Danio rerio: one gene and its partners. The protein of the gene in region 1 binds, or shares a complex with, the protein of each later gene. Links are inferred from orthologs where the notes say so. Each region holds a gene or a part of one and is shown on either strand. Other genes may lie near its edges.

Region 1 (3,758 bases):
TTTTGGATCTGGCTGGCCATCCCTTTGATGTCTTCTCTGAGTGACTGCAGTTCCTTTTTCATACCTGTGCTCAAAGAAAAATATAATTTACTCATTCACTCACTATCCTTTAACTTACTCTCTTCATAATTATTAATTAATACACACACACAACATAAGATTATGTAAATGAATAATAAAAAACCCAAGTGAAAGCTAAATTACTTACTGTCCTCTGGAAGTGCAACTCCTAGCACTGTTTTCTGCTTGTTCTCCAATTCGGAAACCTTTCTCTTAAGAGTTTCAAGTCCCTCTCGAATCTCCTGAACCTACATAGAAAAAAGAAAATATATTTTTATGTCAAGTTTCAATGCAAACTTTCCAAGCACAAATGTTATGGAATTCAAGTGACCCAAATGTAATTTATGTGTAATGTTTGACATTACATGAAGTTTGCACAAACACTAAACAGCTTCATTCCTTTATTACTGTTTGCATGTGCATGTTCCTAATCTACGGTGGTGGAGAGAGAGCTCAAATGTACTGTAAGCTAAGATATGCATATAGAAAAACCAAACTAAGAAAATGTGTTCATTCGTTTGACAATATGTGTAAGCAAATTCTCACAACACATGCACATATGCAAAGAGCACATGACAGAAATGTGTCAGGGAACCCCAAAAGAGACAAACCCAGCTACTTCCTGTTTAGAGCCTGTCAGGGTTGCTGTCTGATGGTTATTTTAATGTCCTGGTCGTAAGGTTCCTTGTTGTTTGTACATTTTTTGCATTAATAATTGATAAAAAATGCTTTTTTATTGGTGTTTTTTGTTGGTGCAGTACATTTGAGCGCTCTCAGCCACCGTACTAATCAGTATTTGTGAGAAACCTGCAGTGTAGAAAATCACAGTTCAGAATTGCAGGATTTCTAAATTATATTATACAAGAACCAACAATACACACTTCAGTTCAAAAATCATTAATTACAGAAACAACATGCTACTTCTGTACAGATCCCTAAAACTAGTGCATAAAAGTATTGAAAGTTGCAGTTAAAATGAGAGCAATCGTGCTACAATGACCTTTTTAAAGAAAGCTTCATTTTCTTTGTCTTCATTTGCTGAGGTTCCAGATCCAGGCTTTATCATTAGAGCTACGGTTTCTTCATCTTCATCTGAGGCATCAGCAGTCTAGTAAAAGAGTACACAATACGACACTGAATATAGTTAAGAATATTGTTATTAATAAATTTTTATATTGTATGTTATCATATTTTAAAAATATTACCACCATACAAAGTGCAAGACAGTGTTTCTGCAGCTTAGATAAAGGTAAATAAGGTTAGCAAAATATCTATTTTAAATAATACCTCAAAGTTTAAAAAAAAGTAAACAGATCTGTTATTTCTAAACTTACAAAAAAAAGTCAAAACTGAATAGCCATTAAAAATGTTACTCTTCTCATCACATTACAAAAAACATCTTCCACTATATTCGTCGTTTTGCAAATGTGTGAAAGTCTTAAATCAAGATATATTTTACATTTACTTGACATGTTTTATGAAAAATATATATTTGAATTTAATTAATTTAGGATTACACAAAAAGTAGCTTTAAGGAAAAACACGTTAACATGACAGATAGTGTGTTTTATTGTGTGTGAATTTATTAACATTATAGTTTTTTTGCTTTTACAGGAAAACGAAGTAAAAACCATATACAGGAGATTCATATTTTTCAGTATGTGCAACATTTAGTGTAAAAACTTTGTGAAATTAACCCTTTGTGACTCTCTTTGGGACATTTAAAGGTATTTGTTTGTCGAAAGGCAAATGTAGTCCCACAGAAGAAACTGCAACAACACAATTACGTGAAAAAACAAACGGATGATAATAAACCTTTATTGCCGAGCGAATGACAGTGTATTAATAATAATACAACTAAAAGTTAAGTACCAATTCAACGCTTAACTTTCTTGTGAGAAAAACTAAAATCAATATTCAAATGCAACCATTCATGGCAGCTGTATTTATTTGTAGGCTAAATAAAGTTACACCCCGTTTACCCAAGAGCGCTGGTGCTGCAAGAGGGTGTTAGCCTACCGTTCGTGGACTTTAACCATATATTTTTCCAACACAAGAAAATAAGCCACACAACTATAGATTGTGACTCGTTACAATCCTTGAAGGAGTTAATAAATCGCAGTCGAGCCAGTGGTGACAGTAGTTACATCCGCTGAATAACATTAGCCCGTTAGCCAGTTAGCCGGTTTCCTGCGTGCACTGCCCTGAAATTACTCACATTGCCCAGTTCTTTGGTCCGGTCCCGCATTTTCGATGTATTTTATGGCCAGCTCAGATGAAATGTTCCCGTTTTTAAGAGGTGTAGCTCATCTGTCTCCTGACCATAAACTTGCAAAACTCACAACAGATAAGAGGGAGTTTCCATTGAAAGTCACATTTCACGCCAGCCAACTTCCACAAATAACTTTCAGAGCAGAATATTGATGGACGCTGAGAGATGCTGTGTATATCTATGCTATATGGATAAACTCTGGTTATGTTTAGAGATCAGTGTGGGGCGATGTCGCTGTATATGACTTTACCGTTTTCTTCTTCTCTATCAGTTTGCGGATGTCTGACAAATCCGTCAAGGCTCTTACTGCCCCCTACTGAGCGACACGACTGAGGCTATTTAAGGAAGCCAATTTCCGCCAGAGAATAACAGTTTTTATCTTTTCCCGCTTTTTGTTTCAGATTTCTGAGATTTAAAATCAAAATTTCGAGTTATAAAGTCAGAATTCTCAGACATAAAGTCACAACTGTGTGATATAAAGACATAATTTTCACATATAAGTCATAAAGTCAGAACTCTAAGTTACAATTCAGAGATTAAGTTACAATTTAGAGTTATGAAGTCAGAATTCTAGGATAAAGTCACAATTCAGAGATATAAAATGTCACAATTCTGAGTAAATAAATAAAGCAAGAATTTTGAGATATACTTCACAATTACAGGTTTTGTCAGAAATCTGAAATATAAAGTTGCAATTGTGCGATATAAAGACAGCATTCTGAGATATATGTCACAATTATATAAAGCTATTACATAAGAGTTATAAAGCCAGCTATAATTAGCATTGCCGGCAGCTAGCCCTCTGCAACTCTCATGGTTGAGCAGGGCTGCGCCAGGTCAGTTCCTGGATGGGATACCACATGGGAAAGCAACTGTAGGTTATTGCCACAAGTGTGTTAGGGAGACCAGCTCAACCTGCTGTCTGTATGTCTCCTAACACGCCGGTACATTAATATACTGTCAGTGAGTCCTGTCTTTCAGATGAGATGTTAAACCTGACTCTCTGTGGTCGTTAAAAATCCCAGGATGTCCTTTGAAAAAAAAGAGCAGGGGTTAACCTCGGCATCCTGGCCAAAGCTGCCTACTAGCCTCTGTCCATCATGGCATCATAACTCTATCTCCACTCCACCAATCAGCTGGTGTGTATTCTGGTGCAATATGGCTGCCGTCATTCTGGTGGATGCTGCACAATGGTGGTGGATGAGGAGATTCCCCCACCCCCCAAAAAATGTGTAAAGTGCTTTGAGTGTCCAGAAAAGTGCTATATAAAGTTAAGGAATTATTATTAAAATTCTGAATGCAATAACTACTTCAAAAAAATTACTCAGTGGCGAAAACGGGCTTACATATCCACATGGGTGCATCACTCAGTAGGGGGCAAAAAGAATCTGAGTTTTGAAGTCAGAATTGCGAGTTTTAACGGATA
Region 2 (3,698 bases), on another chromosome or scaffold:
GCAGCCTCCCACTCACATCTACAGCTGTGCTCCCGGGGAATGATGGGATTGTAGTTTTCATTGTCTGCACCTGCACAAAAATGTTTCCTGAATGGTCATTAATTTGTTGCTGAAAATGATTGTAAATATTTTATTATTAAATATTATATTTGCAATAAACTACATGCTGTTTTATTGACATGTGTTGGGCCTTATTTTAATTATTGATATGTAGTAATAATGTATTTTTTCCTTCGCGTGTTTGTGTGAGAAAGTTTGCAGTATGCAACAACAAATAGAAAACAACAAAATGAATATAATTTAAAGTGAAATTGAAACTGAATAGTTTTTATCGTACAGCGTATCAAATATTATAGAGTGAATTATAGTACTATTAAGTCATTTATGTAAATGAATAGCAAATATGTAGGTAATATTTATTATGTCAGCTAAACTTTAATTGTTCGACGATTATATTTACGAAACAGATTAATTTGGGTTTTCCTAAAAATATGAACTACAACTCCCACACTGTATTTATGATGCGAGCTGTCTACATATTTGCTACGTTTAATTGAAGTCTACTTTTGTATCATTTTTCAAAAATGAAGTGCATTAAAATTTTAATTAAGCATACACATATTAATATAGAGCTGTTTTAGATGTTTAAAATTTTAAAACAGCCTTTAAGATTTTAATCTGCATTCTTGTTTGCAGGCAAAATCAAGACCGCCTATCATCACGAGGTCCAACACGGAAGCGTGAGCTGCAGTCCCGAGGATTTTGTTATTGCCCGAGAAGCTGATTTTTCCCTATTGTTTCGTACCACAACAGACTTCAAATTTTCGCTCTTTTATTCTGTTGTCATTTATTTTGTTTATTTGCTTTAGACTTCGTTTGTTCCACTATGTCTTCAGAGGAGTTTGAAAAGCTGCATGAGATGTATAAATCTCTGTATGACGAAGTGAAGTTGATGCCAGAACGGGTGCAGAAGAGCCAGGGAGGTGAATAAACTCTTTATACTGTATTATACGTTAACAAGACTGTGCGAATGAACTGCTTTCATCAGTGAATAGTCATTAACTTATTTTGAGTACTGTCATTAGAGATTTTCCAAACACTCCTGATATTGTAGCTGTGGATGAAGTATCGAGATTATGGAATTAGGCTGCTGTTCAGAAAAAAATGCTAAAATATCAACCATTAACAAACGCTTTGAAAGTGTGTGGCTATAGTTTTTTTAATCCACGGGAGTCTAGGACACGTTCATAAACTGGGTGCGAGGATTACAAATTGCTGGCTCAGTAAGAAAGACTGAGTCTAAACAAATTGCCATATACACTGCTTTGTGTCTGCAGTAAAAATGCAGTCTGCATATTTGGAAAAGACGATGTCATCTCTATCCCTAATTTGCAGAAGTGAGGTAAAGTTGGTTTTATATTTGCACATTCGTTAGTTTTTGACCAGTGGCAAATTGTGACTGTCTACTTTCAATAATGGCTGTGAGGCATGGGATTATGATTCAAAACGACATTAGCACATTTATTGACTGTGAACGACGCTGTACATTGATAGTCATTGGCTATAATATAATTTCCCTATTAAGAATTTTCAAAAATACTTTTCTGAAGTTATATTTGGAAGACTAAAGTCTCAAATGTGTGAATATAAAACAAACTTTACCTCAATATTTGCAGAGGGACATTCTAAAACGTTTAACGTGGCTTAATGTACTTGAACATCAACCAGAGAAACCCACATTTCTGTCGAGCTTTACTTGTAATTAACCCTAATGACTGTAAAATCAATGAGTCCCAATTCCCTAGATAAAATGTAAGACATCACAATAACCATTTTTCTGAAGTCTATTATAAGGAAAAAGCTTAACATGGCTAATGTACCTTAACAACAAGTGGGTAACATTTAGTTTCTCTTGGTTGTTGTTGTAAAGTCACGTTCAACCTTTTCTTATTATGGACTTCGATGGGAGGAAAACACTTAACGTGATATTGTTCACTTTATCTATGGAATTAGGGCCTGTTCTTTAGACAATAGTTAGTGTTAATCACTAGTAAAGTTTGACAAATTTGGGTTTTCCTGGTCAGTGTTAAGGTACGTTAAGCCAGGTTAAGCTGTTTCCTTATAATGGACTTTTACAGAGAGAACGTTTAGTGATATTGTTCACTTGATACAGTATACTAAAATAAAAGTTTGTTCTTTTAACAGAAGAAAGTGTTTATGAGTATATTTTTATATACATTTGATTGTCTCAATGTTATTAAGTTAAACCTCATTAAGGTCTTATAATGGATTTCAATGGGGATAAAACGTTTTAATGTCACATTGATCAATTAACTTCATCCACAGAATCAGGACTTGATCTTTTGCTAGTAGTTAAAGATAATTACAAGTGAAATTTCATAGATTTTTGGTGTGCTCTTGTTGAGGTACGTTAAGCCATGTTAAGCTCTTTCCTTTTATAATGGATTTGAAAAACGCATAACGTGATCCTTTTCACTTACTAAAATTAGAGCTCATTTTTTTGACATCAGAAAGTGTTAATCACAAGTAAAATTTGATAGAAATTAGATTTTATTTTAGAAATTAGATTTTAATTAGATGTACCTTGTTGTTAAGGTACATTAAGCTACATTAAGCTTTTTCCTTACAATAGACTACAGAAAAACGCGTAATGTGATGTTTTACACTTTATCTAGGGCAGTAGTTCTCAAACTGTGGTACGTGTATGCAGGCTTCCTTCTAGTGGTACACGGAGGAATCGCTGAATAATTAAAGTAAAAATGAGCACACTTTTAACCCTTTGACGCGTACGATAACGCCGATGTGATCAGTAAATTGATTTTAATAGGATAAACCTTTCATTTTATTTTCAATTTTCTAATGTTTGTTATGTATTCTATCATTTAAAGCTAATTTCCTCTCCATATTTGTAACAGTTGTAGGGGCTTATCCCATATTTTTATATCCCAATGTTCACAGGTATAGTTTAATCACTTGCTTTACTGACACACATAACCTACTCTAACGTGCAGTGGGCAAACTCATTTTTTATTTAAATATGCAAATCCAATTCATATATCTAAAATACAAGTTAACATTTAGATTTCAAAGATTTACAAAGTCATATATACATGCATCATATATTTCAAAATTTAGGATACTTTATGATAATACTTTACATTTAGGTACAGCAGTTTTCTCTTTACTTTTTAAAAACAGTGCCGTTTTTGATTAGCTTTTGAACGCACAGTTCAACAGCACAGTGTTAATGTTCAAACTACTTATGATGTTTAATATGGCTGAAAATAACAAATATTCATAATAATAATCAGAATTAATCTGCCACGCTTTTGAATTGTGCAGTGCTGTAGCTGCTTAATTAGGCCTACTACACTACTGTATTTCAATACTGGTCATTATGGTGGTACTTGGGAAGAATTTTTAATTGAGGTGGTACTTGGTGAAAAAAGTCTAAGAACCACTGATCTAGGGAATTGGGGCTCGTTCTTTTACAGTCATTAGGGTTTATTACAAGTACAATTTGACAGAAATTTGGGGTTCTCTGGTTGATGTTTAGGTACATTAAGCAACGTATTTGCACATATTTCTTTACAAACTTGAGGTGGTCCAAGCATTTTAATATTGTTCTTTAAAATATATATATATATATTCAGTGATTGTATTTATTTGCACATCAC
Region 3 (3,758 bases), on another chromosome or scaffold:
TATAATATATGTATATATTTGAAATAATACATGTATATATTTTATGTTTGAGTGAAACTAAACTATTCAAAATAGCATTGTCGCTCGTGATTAGACAGTTTCATGCCAGTTTTTCCCTTAATAAACGATTACCATTTATTTAATTAAATAATTATATTTTAAATTAGTTAAATATAAAAACTAAAAGAAATATAAATGTAATTGTTTAAAATTATGAATATGCTTTGATATCTGTGCAACTAACAAAAGACAATTTATGAGTTATCTGTTTATGCATAAAATAAACAAAAAAAATAATTAAAATTAAGCTTTAACTATTATATTACGAGTTACATCAAAAATTCTTCGATTTTTATTTATTATAACCTAATAATATAATTTATTAATGTAACCTTTATTATAATGTTATTATAACCTTATTCATTATGTAATTTATAAATGTAACCTTTTGCATTATTATTAGGCAAAACGTTACCTTTAGGTAAAAGATTTTAAAATTATGCAATTCAATGCATATATACTGTAAACCTAATTTATTATTATTATTTTTTTAGCAGTATAAGTAAAACAAAACACTAAATTTAATGATGAATTAATGATAAAATGTAATGTCAAACTGCTTTGTATATTGTTTACATTGTAAAAAGGGCTAAAGAATTAAAGATAAACTAAATTAACTGAAATGTACTTCATAATTTTTTCTTTATTTTTCAAGAAACCCTTAGTGTTACTGTATATTTTAGTTCTTTTTTTTAAATTCCTTCTACAGTGCGGAGCACCAATTGGCCACAAATTGTCATAATGTTGGCCCGCAAAGGTCTTTTGCCTGATGGGTTCTTGTTAACGCGACTCGCTGAAGATGCACAACCCAGCCGCATCCGGCCAAAGTCACAAAGGGCACGTTTTATCACCAAGAGCGGCTCATGTAATGTAGCCCACAAGAATATTCGAGAACAGGTGAGATTTTCCTATCAGTTCTAGGCTAAAGAAAAGTTTCAATTGACTCAGTTGCAGTGTTCATAAGAGATTATTGCTTCTCAGGGTCGGTTTCTCCAAGATGTGTTCACCACCATGGTGGACCTGAAATGGCAGCATTCTTTGCTCATCTTCACCTCAGCGTTCCTCTGCTCCTGGATGCTCTTTGCCATGGTGTGGTGGCTCCTGGCATTCGCTCATGGAGATCTAGAACCTCGAGATCCCAATGAACCCGGACCTGTGCCGTGCGTCACATCCATTCACTCCTTCACTTCTGCTTTTCTGTTCTCCATTGAAGTGCAGGTAAGGATCAATCTGGATAGATATGACTCTGTTTCCATCTAGAATTATTATGACATGCATTTTCAGTAATCTAAATATTTTAGACTCCGCATACATTTTTATTTAATGTCATCCACTTGTGATTGGACTGACTGAAACGTAATACTAGTTGTCAAAACTGAGGGAGAATAAACAATGTAATATTTTTGGTAAACTATACCTTAACAGCGCTGAACAGGATGTGAAGTAGAAGTTGACGTCAATCTTCTGTGGAGGCGGGGCTTATCCACTCTATTACATCATAGAGTAGAACATTCAAGAATCTGTTATCTTCAGACTGCCTTCAATATAATCTGTATTTAGAGGAACCACAAAGTGTTCAGTTCTAAAACTTACAGGATATTTTTAGAGAACTATGAGCTCTTATATGTAAAAAAAAAAAAATTAGGTGATTTTTAGGTTTCACAGTTCATGACCCCTTTAAATCGTCTGTAAGATAATGAAGCATTTGTAATACCAGGTAACTATTGGTTTCGGAGGACGAATGGTGACAGAGGAGTGTCCGCTGGCCATCATAGTCCTCATCATCCAGAACATTCTGGGCCTGATCATCAACGCCATCATGCTTGGCTGTGTGTTCATGAAGACAGCTCAAGCCAACCGCAGAGCAGAAACCCTCATCTTCTCCCGCAACGCAGTCATTGCCCCAAGGAATGGCAGACCGACATTGATGTTTCGTGTTGGAGATCTGAGAAAAAGCATGATCATCTCTGCCAACATACAGCTGCAGGTGACAGATGTGTTTATTTCTTTACTGATGTATTTAAATCATTGAAGAACCTTAACATCCACAGAACCTTCTATTAGAGAGTTCTTCATTTTAGTCCTTTAGATCAGTGTTTCTCAACCACGTTTCTTTGAGGACCACACGCTTTGCACATTTTCCATGTCTCCTTAACCAAACACACCTGATTCAGACCGTCAGCTCATTAGCAGAGACTGAAAGACCTGTAATTGGTTTGACGGACAAAGGAGACATCCAAAACATGCAGTGTTGGTGGTCCTCCAGGAACGTGGTTGAGAAACACTGCTATAGATCTTTAATATGTCCTTCAAACTAAGGTTATTTAATCATTATTTTATCACCAGGTTCAGACAACATAAAAGCAAGGCATTTGATGTCAAAATGATGGCAGATATGTAGCTTTAAAGATAGTATAAATTCTGCCTTAAAGGGACAGTTCACCTTAAAATTAAAATTCTGCCATTACTTGGCAGAATGGAAATCTATTCAGGCATCTTGAATGCAAGAATTTAGAAATTCGACATGGAGAGTGATTTTCATACACATTGATTATCATAACAAACACAAATTATGTGAAGTGTGAGCCAAAAATGCTTTATATATCATGTCTGTACCAGATATTCTTGAGTTTGATTCCATCCTGATCTTGATATTTGCTCCTCAGGTTATTCGGCGGACAGTGACAGCGGAGGGCGAAGTGATTCCCGTCTGTCAGTTAGATATCCAGGTGGAAAACCCTCTCAGGAGCAACGGCATATTCCTCGTCTCTCCACTCATTATCAGTCACACCATTGACAGAGGGAGTCCACTGTACGAGCTCTCAGCGCAGTCAATGGCTACCGAAGATCTGGAGATCATTGTCATTTTAGAAGGTGAATAGAGTCTACTTTCCAGTACTGGGTTGTGGCTAGAAGAGCATCTGCTGCATAAATCATATGGTGGAATAGTTGGCGGTTTATTTCCCTGTGGTGACCCTTGATAAATAAGAGACTAAGCCGAAGGAGAATGAATGTTTGATTGAATAGAGTCTGCTTAATGTAATTGTTTTGTTTAAAAGCCAAAGTATTTTTAAGGGATTATCATAGATAAGCTCTCTAATATGTGACCCTAGAGTACAAAACCAATCATAAGTGTCAATTTTGGGAAATTGAGATTTATACATGATCTGAAAGCTGAATAAATACATTTGTCATTGATGCTGAGATGCAACTATTTCAAAATCTGGAATCCGAGGGTTTAAAAATATCTAAATATTGGGAAAGCTGCCTTTAAAGTTGTCTAAATTAAGTTATTAACAAAGCAGGCCTGTAGCCAGGGGAGGGTTTCAGGTGGTTCAGAAGACCCACCCCTCATTGACAAAGGCCCATAACTACTATGTCATAATAAGTTGTGAAAATAATCCATGGAAAAAGGCTTTAACACCATGTGGAATCCTGTGTTGGTTGTTGCGTCAGCATGACTGAGGAAAGTTGAATGTGCGGGACGGTTTGCTTTTTATGTTAATGATATTTAAATAACAATAGGCTAAAGTTTTTAATTTAAAACTTTAACAAATTCCTATTTTTTCTAATGATGCAATTGATGTATATGATGTAAATGATAATTGATGTAAACCTTAACATCAAAAATGTGGTTATGATGACCATCAAACAAGCTAATCCAGCAAAAAAATAGTGCTTAAAATGTTACAAAAATG

Evidence for each region. Proteins that work in one complex are often made in the same cells at the same time.
Region 2: stx4 (region 1) and vti1b share a complex: the UniProt entries of both Homo sapiens proteins name them as parts of the SNARE complex. The link is inferred for Danio rerio from reciprocal best matches to the Homo sapiens genes STX4 and VTI1B.
Region 3: stx4 (region 1) and bet1l share a complex: the UniProt entries of both Homo sapiens proteins name them as parts of the SNARE complex. The link is inferred for Danio rerio from reciprocal best matches to the Homo sapiens genes STX4 and BET1L.

Annotation. Positions count from the first base shown.
Region 1 is NC_133187.1:22,374,177-22,377,934, reverse strand, and holds the start of stx4 (syntaxin-4), read right to left. Parts: upstream 2,463-3,758; 5' UTR 2,309-2,462; coding exon 2,279-2,308; intron 1,169-2,278; coding exon 1,061-1,168; intron 309-1,060; coding exon 209-308; intron 65-208; coding exon 1-64. UniProt on the Homo sapiens protein: Plasma membrane t-SNARE that mediates docking of transport vesicles. Necessary for the translocation of SLC2A4 from intracellular vesicles to the plasma membrane.
Region 2 is NC_133188.1:36,491,238-36,494,935, reverse strand, and holds the start of vti1b (vesicle transport through interaction with t-SNAREs homolog 1B), read left to right. Parts: upstream 1-752; 5' UTR 753-886; coding exon 887-983; intron 984-3,698. UniProt on the Homo sapiens protein: V-SNARE that mediates vesicle transport pathways through interactions with t-SNAREs on the target membrane. These interactions are proposed to mediate aspects of the specificity of vesicle trafficking and to promote fusion of the lipid bilayers.
Region 3 is NC_133200.1:8,372,533-8,376,290, forward strand, and holds the start of bet1l (BET1-like protein), read right to left. Parts: upstream 2,727-3,758; 5' UTR 2,677-2,726; intron 2,048-2,676; coding exon of another isoform or gene 1,778-2,047; 5' UTR 1,775-1,777; intron 1,611-1,774; exon of another isoform or gene 1,549-1,610; 5' UTR 1,478-1,548; intron 1,317-1,477; 5' UTR 1,279-1,316; coding exon of another isoform or gene 1,042-1,278; intron 958-1,041; coding exon of another isoform or gene 802-957; exon of another isoform or gene 770-801; intron 1-769. Other genes in the region: kcnj11l (potassium inwardly rectifying channel subfamily J member 11, like), read left to right, coding at 802-957, 1,042-1,278, 1,778-2,047, 2,727-2,934. UniProt on the Homo sapiens protein: Vesicle SNARE required for targeting and fusion of retrograde transport vesicles with the Golgi complex. Required for the integrity of the Golgi complex.